Struthio camelus: one gene and its partner. The protein of the gene in region 1 purifies or fractionates together with the protein of each later gene. This does not show direct contact. Links are inferred from orthologs where the notes say so. Each region holds a gene or a part of one and is shown on either strand. Other genes may lie near its edges. The genes, in order: XAB2 and AQR.

The links.
Region 2: the proteins of XAB2 (region 1) and AQR fractionate together in Homo sapiens (co-fractionation; 3 studies listed by BioGRID and IntAct, with this or other methods). This does not show direct contact. The link is inferred for Struthio camelus from reciprocal best matches to the Homo sapiens genes XAB2 and AQR.

The regions. Positions count from the first base shown.
Region 1 is NC_090972.1:3,508,815-3,524,696, forward strand, and holds the start of XAB2 (pre-mRNA-splicing factor SYF1), read left to right. Parts: upstream 1-7,973; 5' UTR 7,974-8,007; coding exon 8,008-8,067; intron 8,068-11,904; coding exon 11,905-12,053; intron 12,054-15,451; exon of another isoform or gene 15,452-15,519; coding exon 15,520-15,643; intron 15,644-15,882. Other genes in the region: protein PET100 homolog, mitochondrial, read right to left, coding at 1,582-1,659, 1,888-1,920, 5,218-5,304, 7,743-7,769. UniProt on the Homo sapiens protein: Involved in pre-mRNA splicing as component of the spliceosome. Involved in transcription-coupled repair (TCR), transcription and pre-mRNA splicing.
Region 2 is NC_090946.1:50,542,177-50,558,207, forward strand, and holds the start of AQR (RNA helicase aquarius), read left to right. Parts: upstream 1-9,134; 5' UTR 9,135-9,331; coding exon 9,332-9,415; intron 9,416-10,649; coding exon 10,650-10,706; intron 10,707-11,877; coding exon 11,878-11,918; intron 11,919-12,931; coding exon 12,932-12,967; intron 12,968-15,558; coding exon 15,559-15,679; intron 15,680-16,031.

The DNA of each region.
Region 1 (15,882 bases):
GGTGGTGGATAGCACAAGGGACGTGGGGCACCTTGGTGGCACTCAGGGACACGGGGCGCCTCGGTGGCACTAGGGGACGTGGGCACCCAGGGCTGGCGGGTGGCGCCGGGGGACACGGGGCGCCTCGGTGGCACCGGGGGGGGGGGACAAACGTGGCAGCTGGGCAAGGCAGGAAGGACCCATCACCATTTATTGGGGTTTGGGGACACCGCAAAGTCCCCACTTCCCCCCCCCACACACACACACAACGTGGGGACACCCCGGGTGGCACCGCAGCACCCCAGGGTGGCAGCCCGAGCCCCCAGGGAGCGGCGCCGGCAGCTGGCCCCGGCCACACGTCCCCTCCGCCAGGGACGTGGCCGCGTGTCCCTGCCGTCACCATCGTGGCCGTGCCGGTGGCAGCGGGACACGGCCGCGGCGATGACACGAGGACGCTGAGACGGGGACGGGATGCCGCCCCGCGTCCCCTCCGTCACCGACGCGGCCGCTGCGGCCACGTGTCCCCTCTGTCACCGTTATGGCCGTGGCGGTGGCATCAGGACACCGTGACGGCATCAGGCTGTGGCCACGCGTCCCCTCCGTCACCGTTATGGCCGTGGCAGTGGTGTCAGGACGCCGTGACGGTGTCAGGCCACAACCACACGTTCCCTCTGTCACCGTTATGGCCGTGGCGGTGGTGTCAGGACGCCGTGACGGCATCAGGCCACAACCACGCGTCCCCTCCGTCACCGTTATGGCCGTGGCGGTGGTGTCAGGATGCCGTGATGGCGTCAGGCGGCGGCCACGCGTCCCCTCCATCACCGTTATGGCCGTGGCGGTGGCATCAGGACACCGTGACGGCGTCAGGCTGCGGCCACGTGTCCCCTCTGTCACCGTTATGGCCATGGCGGTGGTGTCAGGATGCCGTGACGGCGTCAGGCCGTGGCCACGTGTCCCCTCCGTCACCGTTATGGCCATGGCGGTGGTGCCAAGACACCTTGACGGTGTCAGGCCACAACCACGTGTCCCCTCCATCACCATTATGGCCGTGGCGGTGGTGTCAGGATGCCGTGATGGCGTCAGGCGGCGGCCACGCGTCCCCTCCGTCACCGTTATGGCCACAGCGGCGGTGGCGTCAGGACACCTTGATGGTGTCAGGCCACAACCACGTGTCCCCTCTGTCACCGTTATGGCCATGGCGGTGGTGTCAGGACACCGTGACGGTGTCAGGCCACAACCACGTGTCCCCTCCGTCACCGTTATGGCCGTGGCGGTGGTGTCAGGACGCCGTGACGGCGTCAGGCTGTGGCTACGTGTCCCCTCCGTCACCGTTATGGCCATGGCGGTGGCGTCAGGACGCCGTGACGGCATCAGGCCACAACCACGCGTCCCCTCCGTCACTGCTACGGCCACGGCGACGGTGTCACCGCCACGGCCCCAGCGGCGGCATCAGGAGGTGCCCACGGCGGCAGGTGGCGGCGGCATGTCCTCCGCGTCACCGCTACGGCCGGGGCGCGTCCCTTCGGTCCCCGTTGACGGCGCTGGCACGGGGCCACCGTCACCGCCGCCGGGGGGGGGGGGGACGGACGACGGGGGACGCCCTCAGTCCCGGCTCGCCCGCAGCACTTTCTCCTCGTGCATCTTCTGCACCCGCTTCTTCAGCTCCTGCATCTGCCTCCGCTGCGGGGGGACAGGGGACACCCACGGGTGGCACCGCGCGGGGACGGGGCTGGGACGGGGCTGGGGGGGGGTGGGGACGCGCCGGCCACCGCGGCGCAGCCGTAGGGGCCGGGCAGAGCCACCCCGTGTCGTTCCCCCCCCCACCAGCCCCACCGGCACCCACGCTGGGGGGGGGACGGGGGACACAGCGGGGTGACAGCCTGGGGACACGGGGTGACAGCGTCTTACCCGGTTGGCGTCGTCCGGCGGAAAAATCTCCCTCTGCGGAAGAGGAGGCGGCGTCGGTGGGGGGGGGGGGGGGGGGGGGCGGCCGAGGGACCCAGGCGTCCGGGAGACCCTCCCCCACAGCGGGGGCCCAGGCATCCGGGGACCCTCCCCTGCAGCCGGGACCCTCCCCCCCCCAACCATGGGATCTCATGGCACCCAGGGGATCCAGGTGGCCTTGGGGACCTTCCCCCGCCGTGGGGACCAAGGCGTCTGGGGACCCTCCCCCGCAGCAGGGGCCCAGGCGTCCGGGCACCCTGCGGACCCTCCCCCGCAGCGGGGGCCCAGGTGTCCGGGGACCTTCCCCCGCAGCAGGGGCCCAGGCATCCGGGCACCCCGGGGACCCTCCCCCGCAGTGGGGGCCCAGGCGTCCGGGCACCCCGCGGACCCTCCCCCACAGCAGGGACCCAGGCGTCCGGGCACCCCGGGGACCCTCCCCCACGGCAGGGGCCCAGGTGTCCGGGGACCCTCCCTCGCAGCAGGGGCCCAGGCGTCCGGGGACCTTCCCCGGCGGCAGAGGCCCAGGTGTCCGGGGACCCTCCCCCGCAGCGGGGGCCCAGGCGTTCGGGGACCCTCCCTCGCAGCAGGGGCCCAGGTATCCGGGGACCCTCCCCCGCGGCAGGGGCCCAGGCATCCCGGGACCCTCCCCCGCAGCAGGGGCCCAGGCGTCCGGGGACCCTCCCTCGCAGCAGGGGCCCAGGTGTCCGGGGACCCTCCCCCGCGGCAGGGGCCCAGGCATCCGGGGACCCTCCCTCGCAGCAGGGGCCCAGGCGTCCGGGGACCTTCCCCGGCGGCAGGGGCCCAGGCGTCCGGGGACCCTCCCCCGCAACGGGGGCCCAGGCGTCCGGGCACCCCGGAGACCCTCCCTCGCAGCGGGGGCCCAGGTGTCCGGGGACCCTCCCTCGCAGCAGGGACCCAGGTGTCCGGGGACCCTCCCTGGCGGCAGGGGCCCAGGCATCCGGGCACCCCGGGGACCCTCCCTCGCAGCAGGGACCCAGGCGTCCGGGGACCTTCCCTGGCGGCAGGGGCCCAGGCGTCCGGGCACCCCGGGGACCCTCCCCCGCAGCAGGGACCCAGGCATCCGGGGACCTTCCCCTGCAGCAGGGGCCCAGGCGTCTGGGCACCCCGGGGACCCTCCCCCGCAGCAGGGACCCAGGCATCCGGGGACCCTCCCTCGCAGTGGGGGCCCAGGCGTCCGGGGACCCTCCCCCGCGGCAGGGGCCCAGGCATCCGGGGACCCTCCCTCGCAGCAGGGGCCCAGGTGTCCGGGGACCTTCCCCGCGGCAGGGGCCCAGGCATCCAGGGACCCTCCCCCACAGCAGGGACCCAGGCATCCAGGGACCTTCCCTGGCGGCAGGGGCCCAGGCGTCCGGGCACCCCGGGGACCCTCCCCCGCAGCAGGGACCCAGGCATCCGGGGACCCTCCCCCGCGGCAGGGACCCAGGCATCCGGGGACCCTCCCTCGCAGTGGGGGCCCAGGTGTCCGGGGACCCTCCCCCGCAGCGGGGGCCCAGGCATCCGGGCACCCCGGGGACCCTCCCCCGCAGTGGGGGCCCAGGCGTCCGGGCACCCCGGGGACCCTCCCTTGCAGCAGGGACCCAGGCGTCCGGGCACCCCGGGGACCCTCCCCCACGGCAGGGACCCAGGCGTCCGGGGACCTTCCCCGGCGGCAGGGGCCCAGGCGTCCGGGCACCCCGGGGACCCTCCCCCGCAGCAGGGACCCAGGCATCCGGGGACCCTCCCTCGCAGTGGGGGCCCAGGCGTCCGGGGACCCTCCCTGGCGGCAGGGGCCCAGGCGTCCGGGCACCCCGGGGACCCTCCCTCGCAGTGGGGACCCAGGCGTCCGGGGACCTTCCCCGGCGGCAGGGGCCCAGGCGTCCGGGCACCCCGGGGACCCTCCCCCGCAGCAGGGGCCCAGGTGTTCGGGGACCTTCCCCGGCGGCAGGGGCCCAGGCGTCCGGGCACCCCGGGGACCCTCCCCCGCAGCAGGGGCCCAGGTGTTCGGGGACCTTCCCTGGCGGCAGGGACCCAGGCGTCCGGGCACCCCGGGGACCCTCCCCCGCAGCAGGGGCCCAGGTGTCCGGGGACCCTCCCCCGCAGCAGGGACCCAGGCGTCTGGGCACCCCAGGGACCCTCCCTCGCAGTGGGGACCCAGGCGTCTGGGGACCTTCCCCGGCGGCAGGGGCCCAGGCGTCCGGGCACCCCGGGGACCGTCGCCGGCGGCAGGGGCCCAGGCATCCGGGCACCCCGGGGACCCTCCCTCGCAGCAGGGACCCAGGCGTCCGGGCACCCCAGGGACCCTCCCTCGCAGTGGGGACCCAGGCATCCGGGGACCTCCCCCGCAGCGGGGGCCCAGGCGTCCGGGCACCCCGGGGACCCTCCCCCGCAGCAGGGGCCCAGGTGTCCAGGGACCTTCCCTGGCGGCAGGGACCCAGGCGTCCGGGCACCCTGCGGACCCTCCCTTGCAGCAGGGACCCAGGCATCCGGGGACCCTCCCCCGCAGCAGGGGCCCAGGCGTCCGGGCACCCCGGGGACCCTCCCCCGCAGCAGGGGCCCAGGTGTCCAGGGACCTTCCCTGGCGGCAGGGACCCAGGCGTCCGGGCACCCTGCGGACCCTCCCTTGCAGCAGGGACCCAGGCATCCGGGGACCCTCCCCCGCAGCAGGGGCCCAGGCGTCCGGGCACCCCGGGGACCCTCCCTCGCAGCGGGGGCCCAGGCATCCGGGGACCTTCCCCGGCGGCAGGGGCCCAGGCGTCCGGGCACCCCGGGGACCCTCCCTCGCAGCAGGGACCCAGGCGTCCGGGCACCCCAGGGACCCTCCCTCGCAGTGGGGACCCAGGCATCCGGGGACCCTCCCCCGCAGCAGGGGCCCAGGCGTCCGGGCACCCCGGGGACCCTCCCCCGCAGCAGGGGCCCAGGTGTTCGGGGACCTTCCCCTGCGGCAGGGGCCCAGGCGTCCGGGCACCCCGGGGACCCTCCCTCGCAGTGGGGACCCAGGCGTCCGGGGACCTTCCCCGGCGGCAGGGGCCCAGGCATCCGGGCACCCCGGGGACCCTCCCCCACGGCAGGGGCCCAGGCGTCCGGGGACCCACCTCCGCAGCAGGGGCCCAGGCGTCCGGGCACCCCGGGGACCCTCCCTCGCAGCAGGGACCCAGGCATCTGGGGACCCTCCCCTGCGGCAGGGGCCCAGGCGTCCGGGCACCCCGGGGACCCTCCCCCGCAGCAGGGGCCCAGGCGTCCGGGCACCCCGGGGACCGTCGCCGGCGGCGGGGGCCCAGGCGTCCGGGCACCCACCTTCCTGCGCACCACGTGCTCCTCGAAGTAGGCCGCCTGGTTGGACACCCAGAACATGCTGACGGGGAAGGACAGGTAGAGCAGCATCTGGGGACGAGGGGACGTCACCGCAGGGCCGGGGACAGCGCCCGGGCACCCCCTGCCCTCGCGGGGGCGTCCCCAGCGTCCCCCTGCCCGGGCGGGACGTCCCCAGCGTCACCCTGAGCTCGTAGGGTGTCCCCGGTGTCACCCTGCCCGGGCGGGACGTCCCCAGCGTCACCCTGAGCTCGCGCAGCGTCCCCGGTGTCACCCTGCCCGGGCGGGACGTCCCCAGCGTCACCCTGAGCTCGCGCGGCGTCCCCGGTGTCACCCTGCCCGGGCGGGACGTCCCCAGCGTCACCCTGAGCTCGTGCGGCGTCCCCAGTGTCACCCCACCTGGGCAGGATGTCCCCAGCGTCACCCTGAGCTTGTAGAGTGTCCCCGGTGTCACCCTGCCCTCGCGGGACGTCCCCAGTGTCACCCTGAGCTTGTAGGGTGTCCCCAGTGTCACCCTGCCCGGGCGGGACGTCCCCAGCGTCACCCTGAGCTCGTGGGGCATCCCCAGTGTCACCCCACCTGGGCAGGATGTCCCCAGTGTCACCCTGAGCTTGCGGGGCGTCCCCGGTGTCCCCCTGCCCGGGCGGGACGTCCCCAGCGTCACCCTGAGCTCGCACGGCGTCCCCAGTGTCACCCTGAGCTTGTAGGGTGTCTCCAGTGTCACCCTGCCTGGGTGGGACGTCCCCAGCGTCACCCTGAGCTCGCGCAGCGTCCCCAGTGTCACCCTGAGCTTGTAGGGTGTCCCCGGTGTCACCCTGCCTGGGCGGGACGTCCCCAACATCACCCTGAGCTCGCGCGGCGTCCCCAGTGTCACCCCACCTGGGCAGGATGTCCCCAGTGTCACCCTGAGCTTGCGGGATGTCCCCAGTGTCACCCTGTCTAGGGAGGACGTCCCCAGCGCCACTCTGAGCTTGTGGGATGTCCCCAGTGTCACCCTGCCCAGGCAGGACGTCCCCAGTGTCACCCTGCCCTCATGAGGCGTCCCCACTGTCACCCACAGGAGCAGGATGGTCCCCCCCCCCCAGTGCCAGATGTCCCCTGGTGTCACCCTGCCTGGGCAGGACGTGTCCCGGGGTCCCCAGCGTCACCAGCCCGGGCAGGACAGTCCCCCTCTCCCCAGTGTCAGATGTCCCCTGGTGTCACCCTGCCGGGGTGGGGCAGCCCCTTCCCCCCCCCGGTGTCGCTGTCACCGCTGCCAGGGCACAACAGTCTCCCCAGTGTCACCCAGGATGTCCCCAGTGTCACCCGCCAGGGCAGGGGACACCCCCCCACTGCCCCCCTCGGCCTTATCCGCCCCCCTCCCGTCCCTGTCACCCCCCCCATCGTCCCCCTCTGGCCCTGTCACCCCCCCGTCGCCCCCCCATCGTCCCCCCCGGCCCTGTCACCCCCCGTCACCCCCCTCAGCCCTGTCACCTCCCGTTACCCCCCCAGCCCTGTCACCCCCCTCAGCCCTGTCACCCCGTGTCACCCCCCACTGCCCCCCCACGACCCTGTCACCCCCCCCGTCAACCCCTGTCACCCCCTCAGCCCTGTCACCCCCCTGTCACCCCCCACTGCCCCCCCCGGCCCTGTCACCCCCCTCGGCCCTGTCACCCCCTGTCACCCCCCACTGCCCCCCCCACGACCCTGTCACCCCCCCGTCAACCCCCGTCACCCCCCCAGCCCTGTCACCCCCCCGTCACCCCCCCAGCCCTGTCACCCCCCTGTCACCCCCCACTGCCCCCCCGGCCCTGTCACCCCCCTCGGCCCTGTCACCCCCCCGTCACCCCCCCGGCCCTGCCACCCCCCCGTCACCCCCCTCAGCCCTGTCACCTCCCGTTACCCCCCATTGCCCCCCCAGTCCTGTCACCTCCCACTGCCTCCCCCCAGTCCTGTCACCCCCCCTGTCACCCCCCTCGGCCCTGTCACCCCCCACTGCCCCCCCCACGACCCTGTCACCCCCCTGTCACCCCCCACTGCCCCCCCCACGACCCTGTCACCCCCCCGTCACCCTCCCACTGCCCTGTCACCCCCCTCAGCCCTGTCACCCCCCCGTCACCCCCCACTGCCCCCCCCACGACCCTGTCACCCCCCCGTCACCCCCCCACTGCCGCTCCGGCCCTGTCACCCCCCCTCGGCCCTGTCACCCTCCTGTCACCCCCCACTGCCCCCCCACGACCCTGTCACCCCCCGTCAACCCCCGTTACCCCCCCAGCCCTGTCGCCCCCCCGTCACCCCCCCAGCCCTGTCACCCCCCTGTCACCCCCCACTGCCCCCCCACGACCCTGTCACCCCCCGTCACCCCCCCGGCCCTGTCGCCCCCCCGTCACCCCCCCAGCCCTGTCACCCTCCTGTCACCCCCCCAGCCCTGTCACCCCCCTGTCACCCCCCACTGCCCCCCCACGACCCTGTCACCCCCCGTCACCCCCCCGGCCCTGTCGCCCCCCCCCGCCCCCTCCGCCCTCACCCACCCGAAACACCTCCAGCTTCACCCCCATGGCGGCTCCGCTCCCCGCTTCCGGCCCCCGCCCGCCGCAACAAGCCCGCCGCCCATTGGTCGAGCTCCGAGCAGCGGCGCCGCCCATTGGCGGAGGGGGCGGAAGGGGTGGGGAAGGGCGGGGCGAGGGGAAGAAGCGGCGGCGGCGGCGGCAGCCAATGAGCGCGCGGCGCGGCGTGACGTCATCGCGGCGCGCCGGAAGCGGGCGCGGGAGGGACGGGGCGGCGGCGGCGGCGGCGATGCCGGAGCCGGAGGCGCCGCCGGTGGCGGCGGGCGCGGGGCGGGCGGAGCTGCGCTTCGTGAGTGGGGGCGGGAGACCCCGGGGGGGCGGCGGGGGGGTCTCCCACCCCCCTCCCCCTTTTTGGGAGCCGGTGGGGGAGGGGCGCCCCGGGTGGGGGAGGGGCGGGGGTCTCCCACCCCCCGTTTTGGGAGCCTGTGGGGGGAGGGGCGGGGGGTCTCCCACCCCCCTGTTTTGGGAGCTGGTGGGGGGAGGGGCGGGGGTCTCCCTCCCCCCCCTTTTTGGGAGCCTGTGGGGGGAGGGGCGGGGGTCTCCCACCCCCCATTTTGGGAGCCTGTGGGGGGAGGGGCGGGGGTCTCCCTCCCCCCCCTTTTTGGGAGCCTGTGGGGGGAGGGGCGGGGGTCTCCCACCCCCCATTTTGGGAGCCTGTGGGGGGAGGGGCGCCCGGGTGGGGGAGGGGCGGGGTCTCCCTCCCCCCCGTTTTGGGAGCCTGTGGGGGAGGGGCGGGGGTCTCCCACCCCCCATTTTGGGAGCCGGTGGGGGGAGGGGCGCCAGGGTGGGGGAGGGGCGGGGGGTCTCCCTCCTCCCCCCCTGTTTTGGGAGCCTGTGGGGGGAGGGGTGGGGGTCTCCCACACCCCTCCCCCGTTTTGGGAGCCTGTGGGGGGAGGGGCGGGGGGTCTCCCACCCCCCATTTTGGGAGCCGGTGGGGGGAGGGGCGCCAGGGTGGGGGAGGGGCGGGGGTCTCCCTCCTCCCCCCGTTTTGGGAGCCTGTGGGGGAGGGGCGCCCGGGTGGGGGAGGGGCGGGGGTCTCCCACCCCCCGTTTTGGGAGCCTGTGGGGGAGGGGCACCCCGGGTGGGGGAGGGGCGCCAGAGGGGGCTCCCCGGTTTTGGGACGTCCCCCCGTCCCCCTCGGTGTCCCCGCGCCCCCCCGCGTCCCCCCGTCCCCCTCGGTGTCCCCACGCCCCCCGTGTCCCCCTCCCCACATCCCCGTGTCCCCCTTGGTGTCCTCGCGTCCCCTCTCTGTGTCCCCTTGTCCCCCTTCCTGCATCCCCATGTCCCCCCCGGTGTCCCCGCGCCCCCCCCCCCACGTCCCCCCCGTGTCCCCCCCCGCCCCGCCTCCCCCTGTGCCCTCAGTGTCCCCGTGTCCCTTCTCTTTGTCCCTTCCCCGTCCCCCCCGGTGTCCCCACGTCCCCCCCCTCGCCCCGCGCTCCCTCCCGTCGCCGCCCTCGTCCCCCTCGCGTTGCTGTGCCCGCGTCCCCCTCCCACGCCCCCTCTGCACCCCCGCCCCCCCGCGTCCCCTGCTGTCCCCGTCCCCTCGCCTGCCTGTCCTCCCCCCGTCCCCTGTCACGTCCCTTGCTGCGTCCCCGTTGCCCCTCGCGTTCCTCTCCGCCTGTCCCCAGCCCCCTCCCCTCTGTCCCCGTGGCCCAGCCCTGTCTCGTCCCCGCGTCCCCGTCGTCCCCGTCGTCCCCGTCCCTGTGTCACATCTGCGTCCCCGTGTCCCCGTCCCACCTCACGTCTGCGTCCCTGTGGCCCCGTCCCACCTCACGTGTGCATCCCCACGTCCCCGTCCCATCTCACGTCTGCGTCCCCGTGTCCCCGTGCCCCCGTCCACCTCACGTCTGCGTCCCCGTGTCCCCGTGTCCCCGTCCCGTCTCGCGTCTGCGTCCCCGTGTCCCTGTCCCATCTCACGTCCGCGTCCCCACGTCCCCGTGCCCCCGTCCCACCTCGCGTCTGCGTCCCCGTGTCCCCGTGTCCCCGTCCCGTCTCGCGTCTGCGTCCCTGTGTCCCCGTGCCCCTGTCCCACCTCACGTCTGCGTCCCCGTGTCCCCGTGCCCCCGTCCCATCTCGCGTCCGCGTCCCCGTGTCCCCGTGCCCCCGTCCCACCTCACGTCTGCGTCCCCGTGTCCCCGTGTCCCCGTCCCGTCTCGCGTCTGCGTCCCCGTGTCCCCGTGCCCCCGTCCCATCTCACGTCTGCGTCCCCGTCCCCACGTCCCTGTCCCATCTCACGTCTGCGTCCCCGTGTCCCCGTGTCCCTGTCCCATCTCATGTCTGCGTCCCCGTGTCCCCGTGCCCCCGTCCCATCTCGCGTCCGCGTCCCCGTGTCCCCGTGCCCCCGTCCACCTCACGTCTGCGTCCCCGTGTCCCCGTGTCCCCGTCCCATCTCATGTCTGCGTCCCCGTGTCCCCGTGCCCCCGTCCCATCTCGCGTCCGCGTCCCCGTGTCCCTGTGCCCCCGTCCACCTCACGTCTGCGTCCCCGTCCCCACGTCCCTGTCCCATCTCACGTCTGCGTCCCCGTGTCCCCGTGTCCCTGTCCCATCTCATGTCTGCGTCCCCGTGTCCCCGTGCCCCCGTCCCATCTCGCGTCCGCGTCCCCGTGTCCCTGTGCCCCCGTCCACCTCACGTCTGCGTCCCCGTCCCCACGTCCCTGTCCCATCTCACGTCTGCGTCCCCGTGTCCCCGTGTCCCTGTCCCATCTCATGTCTGCGTCCCCGTGTCCCCGTGCCCCCGTCCCATCTCGCGTCCGCGTCCCCGTGTCCCTGTGCCCCCGTCCACCTCACGTCTGCGTCCCCGTCCCCACGTCCCTGTCCCATCTCACGTCTGCGTCCCCGTGTCCCCGTGTCCCCGTCCCACCTCACGTCTGCGTCCCCGTGTCCCCGTCCCATCTCACGTCTGCGTCCCCATGTCCCCGTGTCCCCGTCCCGTCTCACGTCTGCGTCCCCGTGCCCCCGTCCCACCTCACGTCTGCGTCCCTGTGGCCCCGTCCCACCTCACGTCTGCGTCCCTGTGGCCCCGTCCCACCTCACGTCTGCGTCCCTGTGGCCCCGTCCCACCTCACGTCTGCGTCCCCGTGCCCCCGTCCCACCTCACATCTGCGTCCCCGTGTCCCCGTCCCACCTCACGTCTGCGTCCCTGTGGCCCCGTCCCACCTCACGTCTGCGTCCCCACGTCCCTGTCCCATCTCACGTCTGCGTCCCCACGTCCCTGTCCCATCTCGCGTCCGCGTCCCCGTGTCCCCGTGCCCCCGTCCCATCTCGCGTCCGCGTCCCCGTGTCCCTGTGCCCCCGTCCACCTCACGTCTGCGTCCCCGTCCCCACGTCCCTGTCCCATCTCACGTCTGCGTCCCCGTGTCCCCGTGCCCCCGTCCCATCTCACGTCTGCGTCCCCGTGCCCCCGTCCCATCTCACGTCTGCGTCCCCGTGTCCCCGTCCCGTCTCACGTCTGCGTCCCCGTGTCCCCATGCCCCCGTCCCACCTCACGTCTGCATCCGCGTCCCCACGTCCCCGTCCCACCTCACGTCCGCGTCCCCACGTCCCCGTCCCATCTCACGTCTGCGTCCCCGCGTCCCCGTCCCACCTCACATCTGTGTTCTCGCGTCCCCGTCCCCGTGTCCCCGTCCCACCTCACGTCCGCGTCCCCGCGTCCCCGTCCCCGTGTCCCCGTCCCATCTCACGTCTGTGTCCCCGCGTCCCCATGTCCCCGTCGTCCCTGTCCCATCTCACGTCTGCGTCCCCGTCCCCACGTCCCCGTCCCTGTGTCCCCATCCCTATGTTCCCGTCCCATCTCATATCTGTATCGCTGCGTCCCCGTGTCCCCGTCCCATCTCACGTCTGCGTCCCCACGCCCCCATCCCATGTTCCCGTCCCCCCGTCCTTGTCCCATCTCGCAGCTGTATCGCTATGTCCCCGTGCTCGTGTCCCCGTCCCGTCTCATTTTTGCTTCCCCGCGTCCCCGTCCCCACGTCCCCATCCCATCTCACATGTGTATCGCTGCGCCCGCGTCCCCGTCCCCGCGTCCCCGTGCCGTCTCACACGCGTATCGCCGCGTCCCCGTCCCACCTCGCGTCCCCGTCCCCGGCCGCCCCCGCCGGGCTGCGTCACCGCGGCGCCGTCCCCGCAGGAGGACGAGGACCTGCAGTACGAGGAGGAGATCCTGCGCAACCCTTTCTCGGTCAAGTGCTGGCTGCGCTACGTGGAGGCCAAGCAGAAGGGGCCGCGCCAGGGCCTCAACCTCGTCTACGAGAGGGCCCTCAAGGAGCTGCCGGGCAGGTGGGGCGATGGGGACGGCCCCCCCTCCGTGGGGCGCGGGGTGGCGGGGACGGCCCCCCGCGAGGCGATGGGGATGTCCCCCCCCCCGTGGGGCGCGGGGTGGCGGGGATGGGCCCCATGGGGTGCGGGGTGACGGGGACGGCTCCCACAGGGCGCGGGGTGGCGGGGACGTCACCCCCCCCCCCCCGTGGGGCGCGGGGTGAGGGGGACGTTCCCCCCCCCGTGGGGCGCGGGGTGAGGGGGACGTTCCCCCCCCCGTGGGGCGCGGGGTGAGGGGGACGTCACCCCCCCATGGGGTGAGGGGGACGTCCCCCCCGTGGGGCGTGGGGTGGCGGGGACGTCCCCCTCTGTGGGGCGCGGGGTGAGGCGGACGTCCCCCCCCCCCGTGGGGCGCGGGGTGAGGGAGACGTCACCCCCCCATGGGGTGGCGGGGACGTCCCCCCCCGTGGGGCGCGGGGTGGCGGGGACGTCCCCCCCCCCCCCGTGGGGCGCGGGGTGGCGGGGACGTCCCCCCCCCCCCCGTGGGGCGCGGGGTGGCGGGGACGTCCCCCCCCCCCCCGTGGGGCGCGGGGTGGCGGGGACGTCCCCCCCCCCCCCGTGGGGCGCGGGGTGGCGGGGACGTCCCCCCCCCCCCCCGTGGGGCGCGGGGTGGCGGGGACGTCCCCCCCCCCCCGTGGGGCGCGGGGTGGCGGGGACGTCCCCCCCCCCCCCGTGGGGCGCGGGGTGGCGGGGACGTCCCCCCCCCCCCCGTGGGGCGCGGGGTGGCGGGGACGTCCCCCCCCCCCACGTGGGGCGCGGGGTGGCGGGGACGTCCCCCCCCCCCCACGTGGGGCGCGGGGTGGCGGGGACGTCCCCCCCCCCCCCGTGGGGCGCGGGGTGGCGGGGACGTCCCCCCCCGTGGGGCGCGGGGTGAGGGGGACGTTCCCCCCCCTGTGGGGCGCGGGGTGAGGGGGACGTCACCCCCCCATGGGGTGAGGGGGACGTCCCCCCCGTGGGGCGTGGGGTGGCGGGGACGTCCCCCTCTGTGGGGCGCGGGGTGAGGCGGACGTCCCCCCCCCCCGTGGGGCGCGGGGTGAGGGAGACGTCACCCCCCCATGGGGTGGCGGGGACGTCCCCCCCCGTGGGGCGCGGGGTGGCGGGGACGTCCCCCCCCCCCCCGTGGGGCGCGGGGTGGCGGGGACGTCCCCCCCCCCCCCCGTGGGGCGCGGGGTGGCGGGGACGTCCCCCCCCCCCCCCGTGGGGCGCGGGGTGGCGGGGACGTCCCCCCCCCCCCACGTGGGGCGCGGGGTGGCGGGGACGTCCCCCCCCCCCCCGTGGGGCGCGGGGTGGCGGGGACGTCCCCCCCCCCCCCGTGGGGCGCGGGGTGGCGGGGACGTCCCCCCCCCCCCCGTGGGGCGCGGGGTGGCGGGGACGTCCCCCCCCCCCGTGGGGCGCGGGGTGGCGGGGACGTCCCCCCCCCCCCCCGTGGGGCGCGGGGTGGCGGGGACGTCCCCCCCCCCCCCCCGTGGGGCGCGGGGTGGCGGGGACGTCCCCCCCCCCCCCCGTGGGGCGCGGGGTGGCGGGGACGTCCCCCCCCGTGGGGCGCGGGGTGACGGGGATGTCCCCCCCCCGTGGGGCATGGGGTGACGGGGATGTCCCCCCATGGGTCGCAGGCTGATGGGCATGTCCCCCCATGGGGTACGGGGTGAGGGGGATGGTCCCCCTGTGGGGCTTGAGGTGATGGGGCTGTCCCCCCTCCCGTGGGGCACAGGGTGACAGGGATGTCCCCTCCCGTGGGGCGCGGGGCGATGGAGACAGTCCCCCGTGGGGCACGGGGTGGTGGGATGGTGGGGACGTCCCCACACAGGGCGCGGGGCAACGGGGACGTCCCCTCGCGGGGAGATGGGGGTGTCCCCTTGCAGGGTGACGGGGACACCCCCTTATGGGGCGTGGGGTGATGGGGACATCTTGCAGGGTGCAGGGTGACGGGGACGTCCCCTCACGGGGTGGTGGGGGCGTCCGCTCGTGGGGCGCGGGGTGGTGGGGATGTCCCCTCGCGGGGCGCAGGGTGAAAGGGACATCCTCACGTGGGGTGACAGGGATGTCCCCTTGGATGGCACAGAGGTGACAGGAGCATCCCGTTGCATGACGTAGTTGCGGCTCAGGCACCTATAGGTGTTTCTCACCTGGTTTGGGTGCTCATGGCTGTGGGCATGGTGGTGGCTTGGGTGCTCGTGGCCATGGTGGTGGCTCAGGCACCCATAGGTGCTTCTCAGCCGGTTTAGGTGCTCATGGCTGTGGGCATGGTGGTGGCTTGGGCACCCATAGGTGCTTCTCAGCCGGTTTAGGTGCTCATGGCTGTGGGCATGGTGGTGGCTTGGGTGCTCGTGGCCATGGTGGTGGCTCAGGCACCCATAGGTGCTTCTCAGCCAGTTTAGGTGCTCGTGGCGGTGGCCATGGTGGTGGCTCGGGTGCTCGTGGCCGTGGTGGTGGCTCAGGCACCCGTAGGTGCTTCTCAGCCAGTTTAGGTGCTCATGGCTGTGGGCATGGTGGTGGCTTGGGTGCTCGTGTCCGTGTTGGTGGTGGTGGCTCAGGCACCCGTAGGTGCTTCTCAGCCGGTTTAGGTGCTCATGGCTGTGGGCATGGTGGTGGCTTGGGTGCTCGTGGCCATGGTGGTGGCTCAGGCACCCGTAGGTGCTTCTCAGCCAGTTTAGGTGCTCATGGCTGTGGGCATGGTGGTGGCTTGGGTGCTCGTGGCCGTGTTGGTGGTGGTGGCTCGGGCACCCGTAGGTGCTTCTCAGCCAGTTTAGGTGCTCATGGTTGTGGGCATGGTGGTGGCTTGGGTGCTCGTGGCCGTGGCTCGGGCACCCGTAGGTGCTTCTCAGCCAGTTTAGGTGCTCATGGCTGTGGGCATGGTGGTGGCTGGGGTGCTCGTGGCCATGGTGGTGGCTCGGGCACCCGTAGGTGCTTCTCAGCCGGTTTAGGTGCTCATGGCTGTGGGCATGGTGGTGGCTGGGGTGCTCGTGGCCATGGTGGTGGCTCGGGCACCTGTAGGTGCTTCTCAGCCAGTTTAGGTGCTCACGGGTGTGGGCATGGTGGTGGCTCGGGTGCTCGTGGCCATGGTGGTGGTGGCTCGGGCACCCATAGGTGCTTCTCAGCCAGTTTAGGTGCTCATGGCTGTGGGCATGGTGGTGGCTCGGGTGCTTGTGGCCGTGGTGGTGGCTCGGGCACCCGTAGATGCTTCTCAGCCAGTTTAGGTGCTCATGGCTGTGGGCATGGTGGTGGCTTGGGTGCTCGTGGCCGTGGTGGTGGCTCGGGCACCTGTAGGTGCTCCTCAGCCAGTTTAGGTGCTCATGGCTGTGGGCATGGTGGTGGCTCGGGTGCTCGTGGCCGTGGTGGTGACTTGGGGGCTCCCATAGGTGCTTGTCACCTGGTTTGGAGGCTGGTGGCCGCGGCTCGGGCACCCACGGGTGCCTCTCGCCCGCAGCTACAAGCTGTGGTACAACTACCTGAAGCAGCGGCGGAAGCAGGTGAAGCGCAAGTGCGTGAGCGACCCGGCCTACGAGGAGGCGAACAACTGCCACGAGCGCGCCCTCGTCTTCATGCACAAGGTGCGGGGACGGGGACGCGGGGACGCGGCCAGGGGACGTGGGGACACAGGCGCGGACGCGCTGAGGGGAGGCGGACGTGGGGAGGGGACGCGGGTGCACAGAGGAGACGTGGAGGGACGCGGAGAGGGGACCCGGAGGGACGTGGCCACGCGCAGAGGACACAGGGGACCCGGAGGGACGTGGCCACGCGCAGAGGACACGGAGAGGGGACACGGAGGGACGTGGATGCGGAGAGAGGA
Region 2 (16,031 bases), on another chromosome or scaffold:
TTGACGCTGTGGATTTGTAGCTTGGGAGGGACAACGCTTGCAATGCTGAATTGTTAGCATTGCTTCTGCAAACGCATCAAGCAGCATACATTTTATTGGGTTTTTTTGTCTAAGGCACCTCAGAGCTCCTTTGACCGGGATGGTAGGAAACCACCTGAGTTGGTTACTGACTTCAGGGTATATGTAATTCAGGTGCTCTCTAAGGTGAAAAGCTTCCCTAAAAAGTTGAGCCTATGATGTCAAGACGGTTAAGAAAGATAGCCTTGTTTTATCTTTTGATACTGGATGTCATTTTGGCTAATACACAGCCAAAAAACATTAAGGCTTATAATACAGAGTTTAGGAATCCGCAGAAAGCAAATAGTAAGGCAAAAAAAAAATTAGCTCTTTGCCTGATATTACACAGAGCTGCCGAAGAAAACGTCATGGACACGTTTTACCAATAGCTGAGAACAAAAATCTGGATGTTAGTGTAGAACTGCCTTCTGTTATAAGCAAGTGTATAATAATGGCATGAAACTTGCCAAACTAGAAAGGGAAAGTCTGCTAAGACTGAATGTTGCTCTAAAAACTAGACCCTCTCCCTAGTTTTGCTGAAAAGTTCTTAACACAATGTTAAGCAAAACATATGAAGAAGACTTCCTGCAATTTGTCACTAAGTGTTTGTTCCTCTCTTTCTGGGAACAAGCTTAAGACCTTTTCTGTGACTTGTAGTTGTACTGTCTTCTTATAGCTTCAGCTGAAGTCAATGGACACTGTACTTGAATTTACAATATACTGTAAAGCACTGCATCTAAAGTTAAGCAGCTGTCATTGAGTCTTTTCCTACCATAAGCTCATTCCAATCTCCCCTCATTATAATGGGGACAATACTACCGTTCTACAGATTTTGTAAAAATAGAATTAGCTAATATTTGCATAGTACTCAGCTAATATAGCTAATAATTTTCCTTGAGAAAAGAACAAAGGAAATCAGTAATTCAGAACAGCACTTGAATAGCATGCAGCAAGTAAGGTAAGATATATAGAGCTGCACACTTAACAGGGAGGAGCTCATTATCAGAAAACTCTCTGCTTGGTGTACTGTCATTTAGAACAATATAATGCATATCCAAAAAAGCAAATTAAACTTGCTCTGGAAACTTTGTGCTTGATGCTTCTTAAAGCGTGCTTATTTTGCAACTGTAATGATTTTGAATGTAGTTGTATGTGAGTAATATATTCAATTAAATACTTAAACTTATGAGGTCTTATCTTTGGATATTTGAGCTTATGTATAGCCAGTTATATACATAACTAAACCAAAGTCATATTACTTTGAAAGGTCATTCTGAAATATTATCATGTTTTGTGATAACGGGAGTAGCTGAACAGCTTTTTCTACTCACACGTTGTGTAAGACTTAACAGTTCTACGAAGCTTACTAAGAGGTTGTCTAGGTGATTTTCCTACCAGTGAAGAGTTCCTGCTAGATACAGTATTTCTGCTACTAATTCCTGATTTCTGGGAGAGCTAGAGTAGTACAAGTAAATACTAAACAAGAAAAGAAGAAATTTTTGAAAAGCTAAAAACTATACATTTAAAAAGGATAAGCTGTGCTATGTATCTAGAAAGAAATTTCCCCATAGGAAATTTATCACATAACTGCCTCCCACAGGATTTCTAGCATATATTTTTGGAGCGCTCAGAAGTGGCCACTGGCTTCTTAGGTTCTTACCACTGTTTTGCTCCAGTTGACAGGAATCTCGCTAAAAATCTCTGAAGAGAATTAGAATAGCCCAAAGACTGCTCTAACTTGATCTGGTAGCCAAACGTGTCCCCAACAACAGAAAGCTGGGAAGGATATTAAGGCTCATTTCCCCACCTCCTTCACTGGAGGCATTGCTTGCTATTCTGGGATACAAAAGCAGCTGGGTTGCTGAATTAGCCATATTCTTCTCTAGTCATGAGCTCAGAATTTCCATTGAAGTTACTGTAAGTTTTGCACAAAAATCAAGGGCAGTACATTGGCCAGAACGTGTGCTAAATAAATATTTATACACAAATCAGAATGCTACTGACGGCTTCTTTACACTTTAAAATTCTAAATATTTTAAGAAGCATCTGTTACTAAACCGAGGCATCATTTTTGAAAGTACCCATATTTACTGAGTGGAAGTACACATATTTGAAAGTACACATATTTACTGAGTGGGTACCCATATTTAATGAGATGAACACAGTAACAGAGTCTTGGAGCAAAAGAATGCACATAAATACAATAGTAAAAGCAATATGATGAGATTGAATTAAAATTATAATGAACAGGCAGAACATTTAATTTATGTGAACATTAACTGCTATGAAAGATATATCATAACCAAAGGAATAAGGAATAAACTTTTAACATCTTAGAAGATTCATGTGATCTTTTTTGAAAAGCTTTCTGAATTTTATTTACCTGAGATCAGGTAAAATCAAAGTATTTGATGTATCATTTGAACAGGTAAGAGACAGAAGAGGTTCCTGGTCTTCTTTGAATAGTGTATGTATTATTCCATTTCCATGCCCTTCATGCCACCATCTCCTTTCAAAACTTATCATCTAGCTTTGCAATTAATACCTCAAAATGCTGCGCATTTATAGTCACTTTCCTTCTTTGGTTAAAAGAAAAGCTGCATGTGCAAGTTTGTAAATATGCATGATGAGACCATCCTATTGAACTTTCTCATGTCTGGAGCTTTCCATTTTGGAGATCCTCAGAGGGATACCTCTCAAAACACTTGTGCTTATGTGTAAATGTCAAGAAGCTAGAGATAAAAGCTGATTTTAAAGAGCTGAAGTCTCCTGAGCCTTACAGTCTTGCTTCACAGAAAGGCCACTAAACAGATGGCTTATGTCACTCAGGCTGGGATGCACCTGCCCTAAGCTGAGGTATCCAATGTGTAGTTAGATACTTCCCCTAAAGCTAAGCTTATGTATTTAGTATAATGCAATTGTATTAGGCCAGAAAAAAAAAAATCGTATACCAGTGAGATGCACTCTAGATATCTAGACCTTCATCGTAAGCAGCACGACTCTTATTAACTCACCTCAACCACCTAGATACCTTTAAGTCTCCAAGTTGTTCACTGGGAAAGCTTAATGCAGCTGTCTCCCTCTCTGCCTTGCCTTTTTCCCTTTCTGCATACAGATGAATTCACTGTCAGAACAATGACAGATCACTTTTGGAAAAAGGAATGTAGACATTCCCTTTGCCTCTGAGTTATGTTGGACCACAAGGTCCAAAAAAAAACACTAGAGGCATTCAACATGAATAGAAAAGAGTAGCAACTACAGCTGAGCAGAAGTACAGCTATATTCAATGACTGAAAGGAAGAGGTCTATGCACCCCGGCATCATGATCAAGAAATAAAGCACACCAAAGCCTTGGGAGACATCATGCACTGGAACTCTAGGCCTAGCTTCAACTTTTACCGGTGGAACAGCAGGTCAGCTGCCAGTAGATCCTCAGCAATGAGGGAGCACACTCTCCACTCAGGCAAGAAACTTCCAATATCCTCAATTACATCTTGTTAGGGGACTCTCCAACAGCTCTGCTGCCCTGGCTGCTTGGATTTCAGGCAGTTGTCACAGCAGCCACCGTGTAATTCCAAATCATCAAAGAGCTAGGTAAACTGCCGTTACTCTGCTGCAGTGACCAGGCAGCAGCATATGGGGTACCCTCTGTCCCTAGCACAATGTTTGCTTAGAAGGGTAGCAGTCAGCTGTTGCCTGTTTATGATTTTGAAAGAATCTGGTGGCTAGAATGCACATGCCTATGCAGGGAAGTGGTGGTGTTTGTTGCTTGCTCAGGAACAAAGCTATCCCACTAGAGTTTATAGAGGTGCAACAGGGTATTCATGTGGAACCTGCATCTCCTAATGGAGGCTTTATTTAGAATGTCTAAGAAGCTTGAGCGATATAAGACTCAAAGCATAAGTGCCTGGAGGATTTGTGTGAAAGAAGAACAGCGAAAAGTGAAACAATTTTTATATTAGAAATATAAGGTGCAGAATCTAGTTCAACTGGCGAAGCATTCTAATCGGTAGGTAAGTATTGTGGCCCCAACAGTAGGACTGCCTTAGGTTCTTACCCCTAGAAATAATCCTAATTAACCTGGTTAATATCTCAAGTGAAACCTAGTCAAGGCTGCCCCCCTGAGTATTTTCTAGTGGAGAAGTTTGGAAGTTAAAAGGATACACATTCCTCCTTTAAAACTCCTAAGTCCACCTGCTGTCTGCAACCTCCATTGTGAATTTCTAAAGCTTGATTGCTCCACAACCAAAGTGGAGAACCTAGCACAGGAACGTCAGCCCCTGCCTGAGCTCCATGAGTCTTTAGGGAGCTTTCTGCCTCATTTGGGATTTCGCTTTTAGTCCAGAGAGATTACATCCTGAAAAAGGTGATGGAGCACTTCTAGAGTACATTCAGAGAGGCTAGAAGAAGAGTCCCTCTGGCTCTCTAACCATGGCAACTAATGTCTGTATTGTATGGTTTCTTTTTATTCCTACTTTAGTGCATCTGACTTCTTTAACAGGACTGCTTATGCTTGGATTTAAATTAAAAAATATGTTTCCAGTTAGCAAAACTCCACAGTCTTCAATCAGGTGACTGTTTGCTTGACAACCCTATTAGTATGACTTGAAAATGGAGTGAAAATAGGCTGTAATTTTAAAATACTATGTGGTATTTATAAATAGTGTCATAGGTGTATATTATTGAGGCTTTTTTCTACTAAAAGTGAATGAAGAATATTTACCCCTTACACAATATGTGCAAAATCCAAAACACTGCAAATTGAGAATGCTCTTGCTTTATGAGTTAATAATTAAATAACAGCATCAACATATAAAAGGTCAGCAACACAGCCAAGTCATAAGCTCAGAAATTTCTGACTCACAGAAACGTCATCAAACTATTGAATTAAGTTTTAGAGGGCCAAAACATCAGAATTTGTCTTTAATTCATGTCACACTGAAAAACCTAAAGCAATCACAATTAATATTAGAATGATTTATGGATTTTTTTTTTTTGAGTTCTTATTGCTAGAAAATCATCACATTGCCAGCTTATGACCTTGGCTTGTACAGTTTACAAAGTAAAAGTGGAAGAGAATATTTTTGCTAGGTACAATTACACAGAAAGGCAAGCATCCAAAACCAGAAGGGCTAGTTAAGCAAGAAAGCAGCATTGAATATAAATTGACCAATAATATATGCAGCCTGGAAATGAATAATAGTCTTGAAAACTGCATCTCCTCAAATATGTGACTTTTTAAATAATATATGTCTTCATGAATGAATTAACAGATTTTTGAAGAGAAAGAATATTTAATTTTCTTGACGCATTAAGTCAACGAGTACAGAAAGATCGGGAAGTTCACAGCAGGCTTTGGGGAAGACGGAGTGCAGCGTTTCCTTTTTCCCCTGGACTACAAAGCATTTTAAGGTGGAGAGTGACAGACATGCCTCCACTCTGGGAGAAACTGAGTGTAGCAGTCTTAACAGACAGTTGTGAGCTGGGTGAGTCACAGGTGGGGACATAAGCACCACACTGGTACCAGTATGTCTGATCTCAGTATGTCTGATCTCACCACAACTCCTCTTCAAAGGTTCAGCTGCTCTTGATACTTGGAAGTACATCTTGCCAAAGCATTACTTAATACTTTTGATATTCTTTTATAGTCCTACCATCATTGTACTCTGTAACTAAACAATAGTCCCTTACAGACTAATATTTAACGCATCCTTTGTAGGGAGGAGATCTTTACCACTTTACTTGGCATTGCCATCAAGGGATGTAATCATATTGCCTAACAGTAGGCATCGAACTTTAGCTTTCTTTATCAGCAGAGGCTCCTCCAGGAAATGAGTCAGAGCATTTACATGAGCACTGATGTGCCTTCTGGAAGGGTCTCTGACTCTACATTGACTGCAGAGAAATCTAGGACAACTAACCTCCTCATTGGGACACCCAAAGGCCAAAAGTTAGGTAAATACAGATTCCTCCTTGAGCTTTCATAGTTTAGATACCATACGGAAATCTAAGGTTTCTGAGAGATGTTTAACACTCACAGACTGATGATCTATCATAAACAGAAGCCAACTGTTGGACAGCTGGAATAATTTAACTTAGCCATGCAAGACCATCTGGGAAAATTTACCAGCCCAAGTCCAAAATCTATTTGCCTTGCCTACCTTTTGGCATGGTAATTGTTCCAAAAAAAAAAAAAAAAAAGAGAGAGAGGTAGGCTGCATTGGTGACACTTAATGCATGTTACTGGAAAAGAAATCTAAGGTCATAAAATACTATCAACTGAGATCCCAAGTAACCATTACCTAATCTCTCCTAAACATATCACACCATGTCTTAAGCATAAGTTAAACTTACGGCTCCCACCTGAAAGCCATTTTTAGAAGCCTTCCTATTTTCAGCCTGTTTGTACGTAGCTTTTGTTCCTTTGCCCTCTTTTTCAGCACCGATTTGTTCCTTCAGTAGTTCCTTCTCTTCCTGCCATTTACCCCTCGAATCTACTTACGGGCAGTAGAAGTACTCTCCTTTTGCCAAACTGATAAACTGTTATATTACTATTCATTACGGTACATGCAAACATAAGCTATCTATGTTCATTTCTGAGGTGGTTAGGTATAGGGGAAGTTAATTCTGGAAGCTACTACTTAACAGTGTTCTCTCCAACTTATTGGCTAAGGTACACCAACATGCTAACAAGGCTCATCCAGCGAGCTTAGAGCATAGGTAAATTGTACTTATGTTTTTTACATTTGTCCAGGAATGCAAGTGCTAGCAATCATACAAAGCAATGGAGAAAGCTCAAATGTAACCGCCTGTTTAGGTGTCGGTACAGAATTAGATAAACCTAAGTCAATCATGAAGCTGCAGCCTCTAGGTGGATTACTTTAAATCAAAACATTTGACTTTTGCTGATTTTCATCACAGTTTAAATGTCAGAGTACATTGGTTTAAGTGTATTTTAATTGCTTTGTATTTGCATATCTTTAATTATTAGACTGGATAGTGCTCAATCCTTGTTGTTTACATAAATTATTATCACTAGCTCTTGAAAACTTTTTGATTTTACCTGTTTTCATATAGCGAACTTAGATTTTCTGGATCTTGCAAAGCACAGGAATGGAATAGGTGTATTTATTTGAATGCAGCCATTGTCTGATCCTAGTCGAGATACTGTCATTACTTTTTCCGTTCCCACTGTACATTCTAATTCAACTTCAAAAAGAATATTTAGTTTAACCTCTTCTTGAAGAAATGAAATGGAGATCACCTTGATATCAAAACAAAGGAGGTCATATTCAAACAGACTTCAATGATATCTGCCTGGAAGTTTAAAGTACTCAAGTGGCAGGTGCTGGATAATGAGCACAGAAACAAAGCACTGTAACTTCTCTAGGGATTATGTTAATTTCCTCCTTAATTAATCTGTTTACTAAATAGAATAAGTTAATTGCAAACCATTCTAAATCATAACCAAATTGCTGGTTTCTGTAAGCATGTACTTTTCCCTTCTCGCCCTTTTGCCTCTCCTCTGCTCCACAGATTTTCCATGTTATAGATATATATCTATATATGAAACAACATGCACTATGCTTAGATCTTGGTGGCATTTGTTTGATGTTAACAACAGATCTTTTCCATATTAGCTCTTGTATAGTATTTGGACTGAAACCTTTGCTCTAAATAATAACAGCAGTAGTCACTAGGTATACTTATATAGCATTTGAAGAGCAGGCATAACGGCAACCATAAGCCTGACGTGTTCTTAAGTGCCTCTGCCTTTACAGTCTTTTCAGACGGCAGTCTTTTGAACAGCTTTTTCAGGTTTTCCTAGCAATGTACTAATATACTGAGTCACACGTGCTTCTAGGCACAGCCTCTGCCTTCATCTAGGCCTAGTCATACGGCAACACTATTGGGATGACGTAGCACGGCAGTCTGGCCTGGATACAGGCCTTAAGAGTGACTCCGAAACGTAGTAAAGACTTATCTATCCACCTAGCAAGACAGGGGTAAAACTGCCACTGCCTCTCTGCAGAAAACTAAGAAAAAAAAAACAAAAGAGGAGCTTTCTTACCACCTCATACAGATTACCTGTATCATTAGCTGCAAGGTGGTAGAGAATGAACACCTCCAACTCAGACAGATAATGGATAGGAAAGAATTAGAAACAATAAGCTGCCAGCGTGTGGCTGATAACGTTGATAACCAAATTGCTCCCACCTCAAAGTTTCAGATGAGTTCCTAAGTTACTTCTGGGTCTCTCTGCAGTCTGTCTGAAATGTTATACTTCACTGTCATCACTGTATCCATTGTCTAGAGTCTTTCCCTGTAATTTTGGGACAAGCTTTGGTTTTATCAAACTAGCTTTTGGCTATTTCTCTTGCATAATCATGCATAATTTATGTTACAGAAACAACACTAGCAAACAGGGAAATAAATTAAAAAAAAAATTTAAAAACCCAAATATAATCGTCCGAGAGCCTTGACCTACATTTTCAGTATTCCCTTCTAGGCTTTTCTCCATGCATTTTGGTGCTGCCAGAAGTATTTTAGGGACTGTAAATACGGACACGTTAGTCTGGACTACTGCTACGTGCAGCCAAGTATGGCAGCACCCAGGCTAATTAATCTCGCTTGGGCAGTGCGCCTAAAACCGACGCACAGGCATTTCCCACACAGGCGCGCCCGAGTGCGCGCTGAGAACCACCACGTTTACATCCCGTATCTGGCAGAGCGGAGGCTGGCGACGGCACGGGGCCTTCCGCCCGCTGTCCGCGGCGGGCCGCTACCGCCGCCCCGCTCCCGGCGGCCGCCACGTCGCGAAGCTCCAGGCGGGCCACAGCGGCTCTCCGGGGCTCACGGCCTCGTCACAGCTCTCCCTTGACCCCACTCCGTGGCCGCTCGCCCACTGCAGCTTCCTCCCCCCTCCCCGCGGCCCTCCCGCTGCCCGGCGGACCCGGCGGCGCCACTGCCCTGCCCCGCCCCGCCCCGCCCCGCCTGGCGGCCGCCCTAGCCCGCTCCGTGCCCCGGAAGCGCTCCGCGCCCTCCCCCCGCCCCCCGCGCTCGGCTCCCGTCACCCGGCCGCTGTTTCCGCTCCGCTTTCTATTTCCGCACTTCCGGCGCTCTGGGCGCGCGAGCCCGTGTTCGGGACACGCCATTCCCGGGCGGCGAGGGGGGGGAAGCAAGGGGACAGCGGCGACGCCACCTGTGCGGGGAACGAGGGGGGCGAGAGCGCGGCGTGGCCGGCGCGTGCGAGGCGGCGCGGGCTCGTAGCGCGATGGCGGCGCCGGCGGCCTCGGCGCCGCCGAAGAAGATCGTGGCGCCCACCGTGTCGCAGATCAACGCGGAGTTTGTGACACAGGTGGGGCCGGCGGAGGAGCGGGCCGGGCCGGGCCGGGGGAGCTCTGGGTGCCTGGTGGGCCGCGGGGCGCCAGCGGCTTGGCTGGTCACCGGGCCGGTAACAGCCGGGCCGCGCGCGAGGCGGGCGGCGGCGGCTGCTCGCCTCGGGCCGGAGCCGGAGCTGCGCGGGGCCGTGCGGCCTGGCGGAGCTCGCCCGCCCGCCCGCCCTGCGTCGTGCCGGGCCGGGCCGCGCTGTGCCTCCGTGAGGCCGCTCCGGCTCCCTTCTGCGTTTGCAGAACTTGTTTCATCGTTGGCCCCAGTGGCTACGATCTCGCTGTATAAACGGGCTTTGCAGCCTGCGGTGTTAGGGAAAAAGGGTTTAGCTTTGTCGCAAGCGAGCAGGTATTTTTTTAGACCTGGATTACATAGGGCAGAGTGTGTGCCCGACGAGTTTTCAGGCTAGAGAGACTTGAAGAAAAAAAGTAGGAATGTTACAAAATAAATGAGGATTGTCATAGTACACAAAAAACTGTATGAAATTTTTTGTAGTTCAGTGTTCTAAGTGGTTTTATACAGCTTTTTTTTTTTTATACTGAAAATACTGCTTTGCTTTCTTTTCAACCACATAAATAAGTTTCAATAAAGACAGCCCTTGGCAGCATAGCTCAATAGTTTTGTTGCAACAAAGGGAATAGCTACAGTGAATAGTTTGGAAATATTGGAGCTTTACATATAGCCCTTGGTTTTTTTAGTGGGGTGTACTCATTTAGTTAAAATTTTCTAATCTTTGCATTGTATAAAAAAGCCTGGCAGCAGCTGCTTGTCCAGTTCAGTCTGATTCAGAAGTGTACAAGCTTAGAGTTCTCTGAAGTCTTAATTTTTCATGTGGGATTACTTGTTTCAATAGAGGGATTTGCAGCCTCCTGAAAGATCCCTGTAGATTTTTCAGGGATTTGCTAGGGGAAACTTAAGAAAAACAGGTTTGCTTTTGTAGTACAGCACTGTGTGCAACTGAAACTTTTATGAGGCATCACACCTTTATTGTAAAGATTTTAGGCACAGAATCTTAAATAGTTGAAAGTTATTGTTGTTGGAGAACATAACGTTTGTATGTAGTTACTGTAAGTTGAAATTAAGCAAGAAACTAGGGAAATACACAGCCAAATCCAAAGTGTTTAGAGTGTTATATAGAACAACATATGACAACTGAAAGTGTGTTTGTTTAATGTATTTCAAACTTGTTTTTTTCCTTACAGTTAGCAAACAAATACTGGGCTCCGCATGTGAAGAAAAAGTTGCCTTTTGATTCAAAGGTAAATATTTTTAGTGGTATTGTACCGCGCTGTAAAAGAATAAGAAGCAATACTTTTCTGCCATGCTAAACTGATGCTTATTTTTGTAAGGGTGTAGGAGACTACTCGGAAAGTCAACAGTTGCTTAGCACGCTATTAGCTGTTGCTTAAGTTGTTTGTGGTTTATACACATAGGTACCGTTCTGAAGATGCGCTATAGCAGTGCAGTTCTTTTGCATGCTATTTATTCTGTTCGTTTTAGCTTGAGAGCTTGTGAGGGAGAAAAAGATGTTTGAGAAGGGGGCACTGTCAGAAATCAAAGAAGGACCAAAGATGCAGGTAACACTAAGCTGTAAGGGTTCCTTTTAAAAACTTCTTCAGAGGGTTTTGATCAGAGAACTGAAGTGGTGTTTTGGTGGTTACCTGCATTGTGAATGTTTAAAATTTGGCATAATGTTTTTGGTTCTCCGTTGGTTTTCTGTAGTGCAGGCTTCTCAAATGTTAGTTTTCATTCCCTTGTGGATATTTGGCTTAACCGTCCTCTCTTGCCTTAGTTTACCCACTTTCTTTACAGTGTTTGTGGTAATATTTGCATCTGTGATTGTTAGAGCTAGAATGTAGATGATCAGCTAAATTACAACTCTGACAGCAGATGTGATATCAGAATGTGCCTACCGCAACAGATAGTGCAGATGAATTGTCTACAGTTCTTTCAGTCCTATTGGAAAATATAGAACAGTGTGGATTTGGTCAGTTATAAGAAACAGTGGCAATTGATGCCTGGGGTGATACAAACTTGAATCTTCAAGACTATTCTTTAAATTCAGCAATAGACCAAAGATGAGCCATAAAAAGGTATACATAGCTGTTTGACTTGTGTATCAAATCTCAGTGAGGTGTAGGTTGTTCCTTCTGAATAACTTGAATGAAGGTCCTATCAGTTCTCTACCATCGTGTGCTTTTTATTCCCCTTAGCTGATTAATTTTTTTAGTGCGGATGTCTGTCTGTGGAGCTTTTGGTCTCCTCAGAACTGAGACATATCTGTTATGACATTTTTGACCAAATAGCATTACACAGAGAGTAACTAATTCAGAGTAACTTTGAGTGCATAGAATACTTGAATGTATTTTTAATCATGTCATTAAATATGTAAACTTCTTAAAATTCCTTTTGAAATATTCTTTCCCATAGGTTATTGAAGATGTGTATGCAAAAGAAATTGTCAGGTCAAAGTAAGTACGTCACTAACAGACAAGTATTCCAACGTTTTCTCTACTGAAATGGTCTTAAATGTTTATTGAACTACTTTAAAATACACTAAGATGAAAATAACTCAAGCACATTTGAGCCATTTAATGGATGATATCTCATTTCAGAGACCAAATGGGGTAAAAAGAAAACTCACGAGCTCACAGTCCTTAAATATGAGGGTTGGATGTAATTGGTTCCTTAAGCTGTTACTCTGCTTGTTGTAATCCTTGCGTGGGTGATGTGTGTTGTTTTATTTTTTTTGTTGTCACAATGGTTATATGGCTGGGCCCTTCTTTTGCCACCCAGTTATGTACAGAAAAGATCAGTTAAAAGCTAGCAGCAACACGCTCCTCTGCTCAAGTCTTATTCCATTCAATTGCAGTGTTAGAGAGGGGAGACAAAATGTCACATTAAACTATATTCTACAGCTGCTATACAGACGAGAGTTGTAGTAATAGCTGTCTTTCTTTCCAGTTCTTCAGGGGAGGTTTCAGCTCTGGAGAGAATTCAGTTTATGATTGTTTTATGAAAGTAATTTAAGAATTGCCATGCAGGTTTGGAGCAGTGACTAAGAAGTGATACCGTTATGTAATAGCCAGTATGTAGGAACCAATCAAGTATCCAGTCATGGTTTCCCAGAACACTCTCAGCTGCTAGTGATTTGTGACTTAAAGACTGTTGGAAGTGGTATCTTCATACTTAAAAGGTCTAGATGGATGCCTTTATGTGAACTTGTTGATTGATTCCTTAATGAATACACATGAACTTCTAGCTTCCACAGTGTAGAAGTTACAGGAGTGGCTTCTGCATTCAAGTGGTTGCTCTTGCATAAAACCTGTAGGGGGGAAAAAATCTTCTAAATGAATGGTACAGGTTTCATTATATAACCAAATAAAGGAAGAGGTAGTCATTTTCCATGTAGCTAAGATGGGCGTGGAGGCTTTTTTTTTGTGTTGATTGATTGATCTTTTTCCCCCTCTTCCTTCCCCTTCAGGTTTGCTATTAGGAAGATAATGCTTCTTGAGTTCAGGTAAGCTATTTGGAGTGAATTTTTAAGGTATTTTTCTGTAGCAACAGGTGAAAGTAAACATGAGAAATGAATGCAGAACAGTAAATCAATTTGAAGGTGGTATACTCATATGTTCCTACATACTAAAGCCTCGAGTTTGGTGCTTAGGCAAATTTAGTGAAGAGAACTTCATTTGAGGAAGGAATAGTTTCATAAGCATAAATAACATGCTGAAGGTCTTGCTTTATGACTCTAAATTTCTAATGTAAATGAATTGCTAGCACTAAAGAAGAACCTAATATACCTGAAACAGGTGATAAACTTGGATCCATAATTCAGGATGCATCATTAAGCCTTAAATCAGAATTCACTGAAGTCGGTGCAAGTTTTCACATTGTGTCTCTTACAGCAAGGGGAAAAAGAGAATTGTTCTGCAATAGTATCACTGAAATTTTCTTCACCTGAAAAGAAATGGAAATCTGTTTGAAACAGTTTTAAGATACTTTTAAACTTTTCTGGAAGCTTATCATAAAACATGTGTAAAATCATGTAAAATACATATATGCAATATTTACATGTCTTTAAACACAGTAATTAGTCTTTTATTTGGCTCTGTTTTATCGCAAATCTTATGGGCAGATAGAATGAGATGGTGTTTGGCTAGGATGGATGCTTTCTTTGTGAAGGCTGAAATGTGTAAGTAGTTCCACTAATTAGAAAAGTAGGATATACTTAGTATTTCATTTATGACACTGGTATTTCCTTCCATTTCATACTTTACTAATGGAAAAGGTGGCAGGGAAAACGTAAAATAGAGTTTGTGGGTTTTGACAAAGACAAATGGTATGCTGGTAGCGTGACTGTCCTGGAGTTTATATCTATACAAAGAAATAATGTGCAGCTAGCATTTTAATCTTTTCTGTGAACACTCTTTCTTCATGTTATCAACATGTAACGTTGAATGTAGCTAGTACTTTTTGGTATATAGCCCCATCTGCTGCCATATGTCCTGTAAGTCATTTTCTTTTCCCTCATTATCCCTCTTGCAATTTCAAACTCTCCTATCTTCACAGATATGAGATATTGCCCTATTTTTTAGATTTCATTATAGAGTTCATGTACATTTTTTCTTACTTGAGGGGCTTAAGGTTATTTTTATTAAAATATATTGAAGTTTACTGCTGTCCTTGGGTGAAATGAAGTATGGCGTTTTGGGTTTTTTGTGTTTTTTTTCCTCCCCTCCTATTGAAGATCCAAGCGCTCTACCCAGTTCCGTAAGCCCTTGGGAAGTGTTATGCGTTTCATTTTGTATACGCACCTGTGAAATTCTCTCAGCTCCTTCGGAAGCTACACGTTCTGACTGAGGTTCCAGAAAGCAGAAATGCGTGTCGCCTCTTACTGAGTCCTTTGCTCCCGGTTACAGCCTTGCTCTCGCTGCCTTTCTTTTTGCTGTCCGTGGTACTGGTCTCATCTGAAAGGACTGAACTAGCTTTCTGCAAGGCATCAGAAAAATAAGCTGTGAAAAAAGTAAATAGGTGTTTTAGCCATGCTAGAAAACTGAGTCGGCTCTTGAGGAGCCGAACAAATGTTAGAGCTGGTGTCAAGAGGAAGGAATGGCTGGGCAGCCTCAGGTTTAGGAAGGAGCAGGATGTTCCCCTTTCTGGTAGCAACAAGATGTTAAATTAGCACATGGCATAAATGCACCGTTGTAGATGATGGACTTACGGATTGCCTCTTCAGGAGTAACCATCCTGCATAGTTACTTCAATAAAAAGTTAAAGGAGGGAGACTCTCGCTCCAAATTTTCTTTCATCTCTGCACTCTAATTTTGCAGTTTTCTTCTATGAAAAAGTGTCATATTAATGAAGAGAAAAGTTCCCATTGCTGTGAAGCTGCAATTTCCCAGTGTCTAGTTGTTCCCTGAGTTTAGTTACCCTGTGAAGTCACAGGTGAGCAGGAGATTTGAACATCCATTGCTCAGTCAGGGACAGGTTGTTCTTTTTTTTTTTGTTGTTGTTTTTTCTTTTCTTTTCACCTTGTTGAAATCACTTAATCACTCCCCTAAAAATAAATGCTTTATTTTAGTCACGCTGTATTTTCATTGCCTTTATATGAAGATTATAAGCATAAAATCTCTCTAGATGATTTCTAGCTTTGTCCAATAGTGTATGTAATAATGCAAATAATGTAAAATAGTATACTGTGAATTTTCTCTTAAGAAAATTAACATTTGCATCTTACCCTAGGAAATGATGCATGTGATGTTCTTCAGACTTAACTTGTTTTTCTTCTTCCTGGAAAATCAACATGAATTTGTATTCTGACTTTGTACTGAACTGTGGCTGCCTGTTGTGGCTAAGTGAAAAACTTCTGATCTGTGTGTCCTCCTAATGAGAAACTCATCTGTCTCTTGTAGCAGTTATCTGAGTCAGCCATTAACAAGTTTTGCTGCAGTGACCTAGACGAGAGGTAACTTCAGGAACTATTCACAAATTATAAAGATGGATTTGAGGAGGAGGGGAAAAAAACCCCTGTGGATAACTGCTTTGTCAAGTGAGTGACAGATGATGTGGGTGGCAGAACCTGATGAAATATGCTTTGTCTTTTCACAGCCAGTACCTTGAAAATTACCTATGGATGAATTATTCTCCCGAGGTGTCCAGTAAGGCATATTTAATGTCAATCTGCTGTATGGTGAATGAGAAGTTCAGAGAGAACGTACCTGCGTGGGAGGTAACCAATTTCAATTACAGCTAGAATTGACTTTGATCCACAAGTTGCAGTTCTTGCAGTGTGCGCACTTAAACTGACAGAAGATAGCAAAGCTTGTAGTGTTAAAAGTAAATGGTATGTTGACGGGAATTTCTGTCATGGTGTTTTAAATAATAGTATGCTCTTTTCTTAGAAAGCAATGGTCAGATGAAAGATCACCTGATTCCTTTGGGTGCATGACTCCTCTGTTCTGTTTGTGTTGCTTTACATAGCAGCAGCGTGTGCTTTTTTTGACATTTGACAAGTCTGGCATTTGGAGAGACATTATTTTGCTGAAATTATTTAAAAAAAAATAATTTATATCTATGGAGGT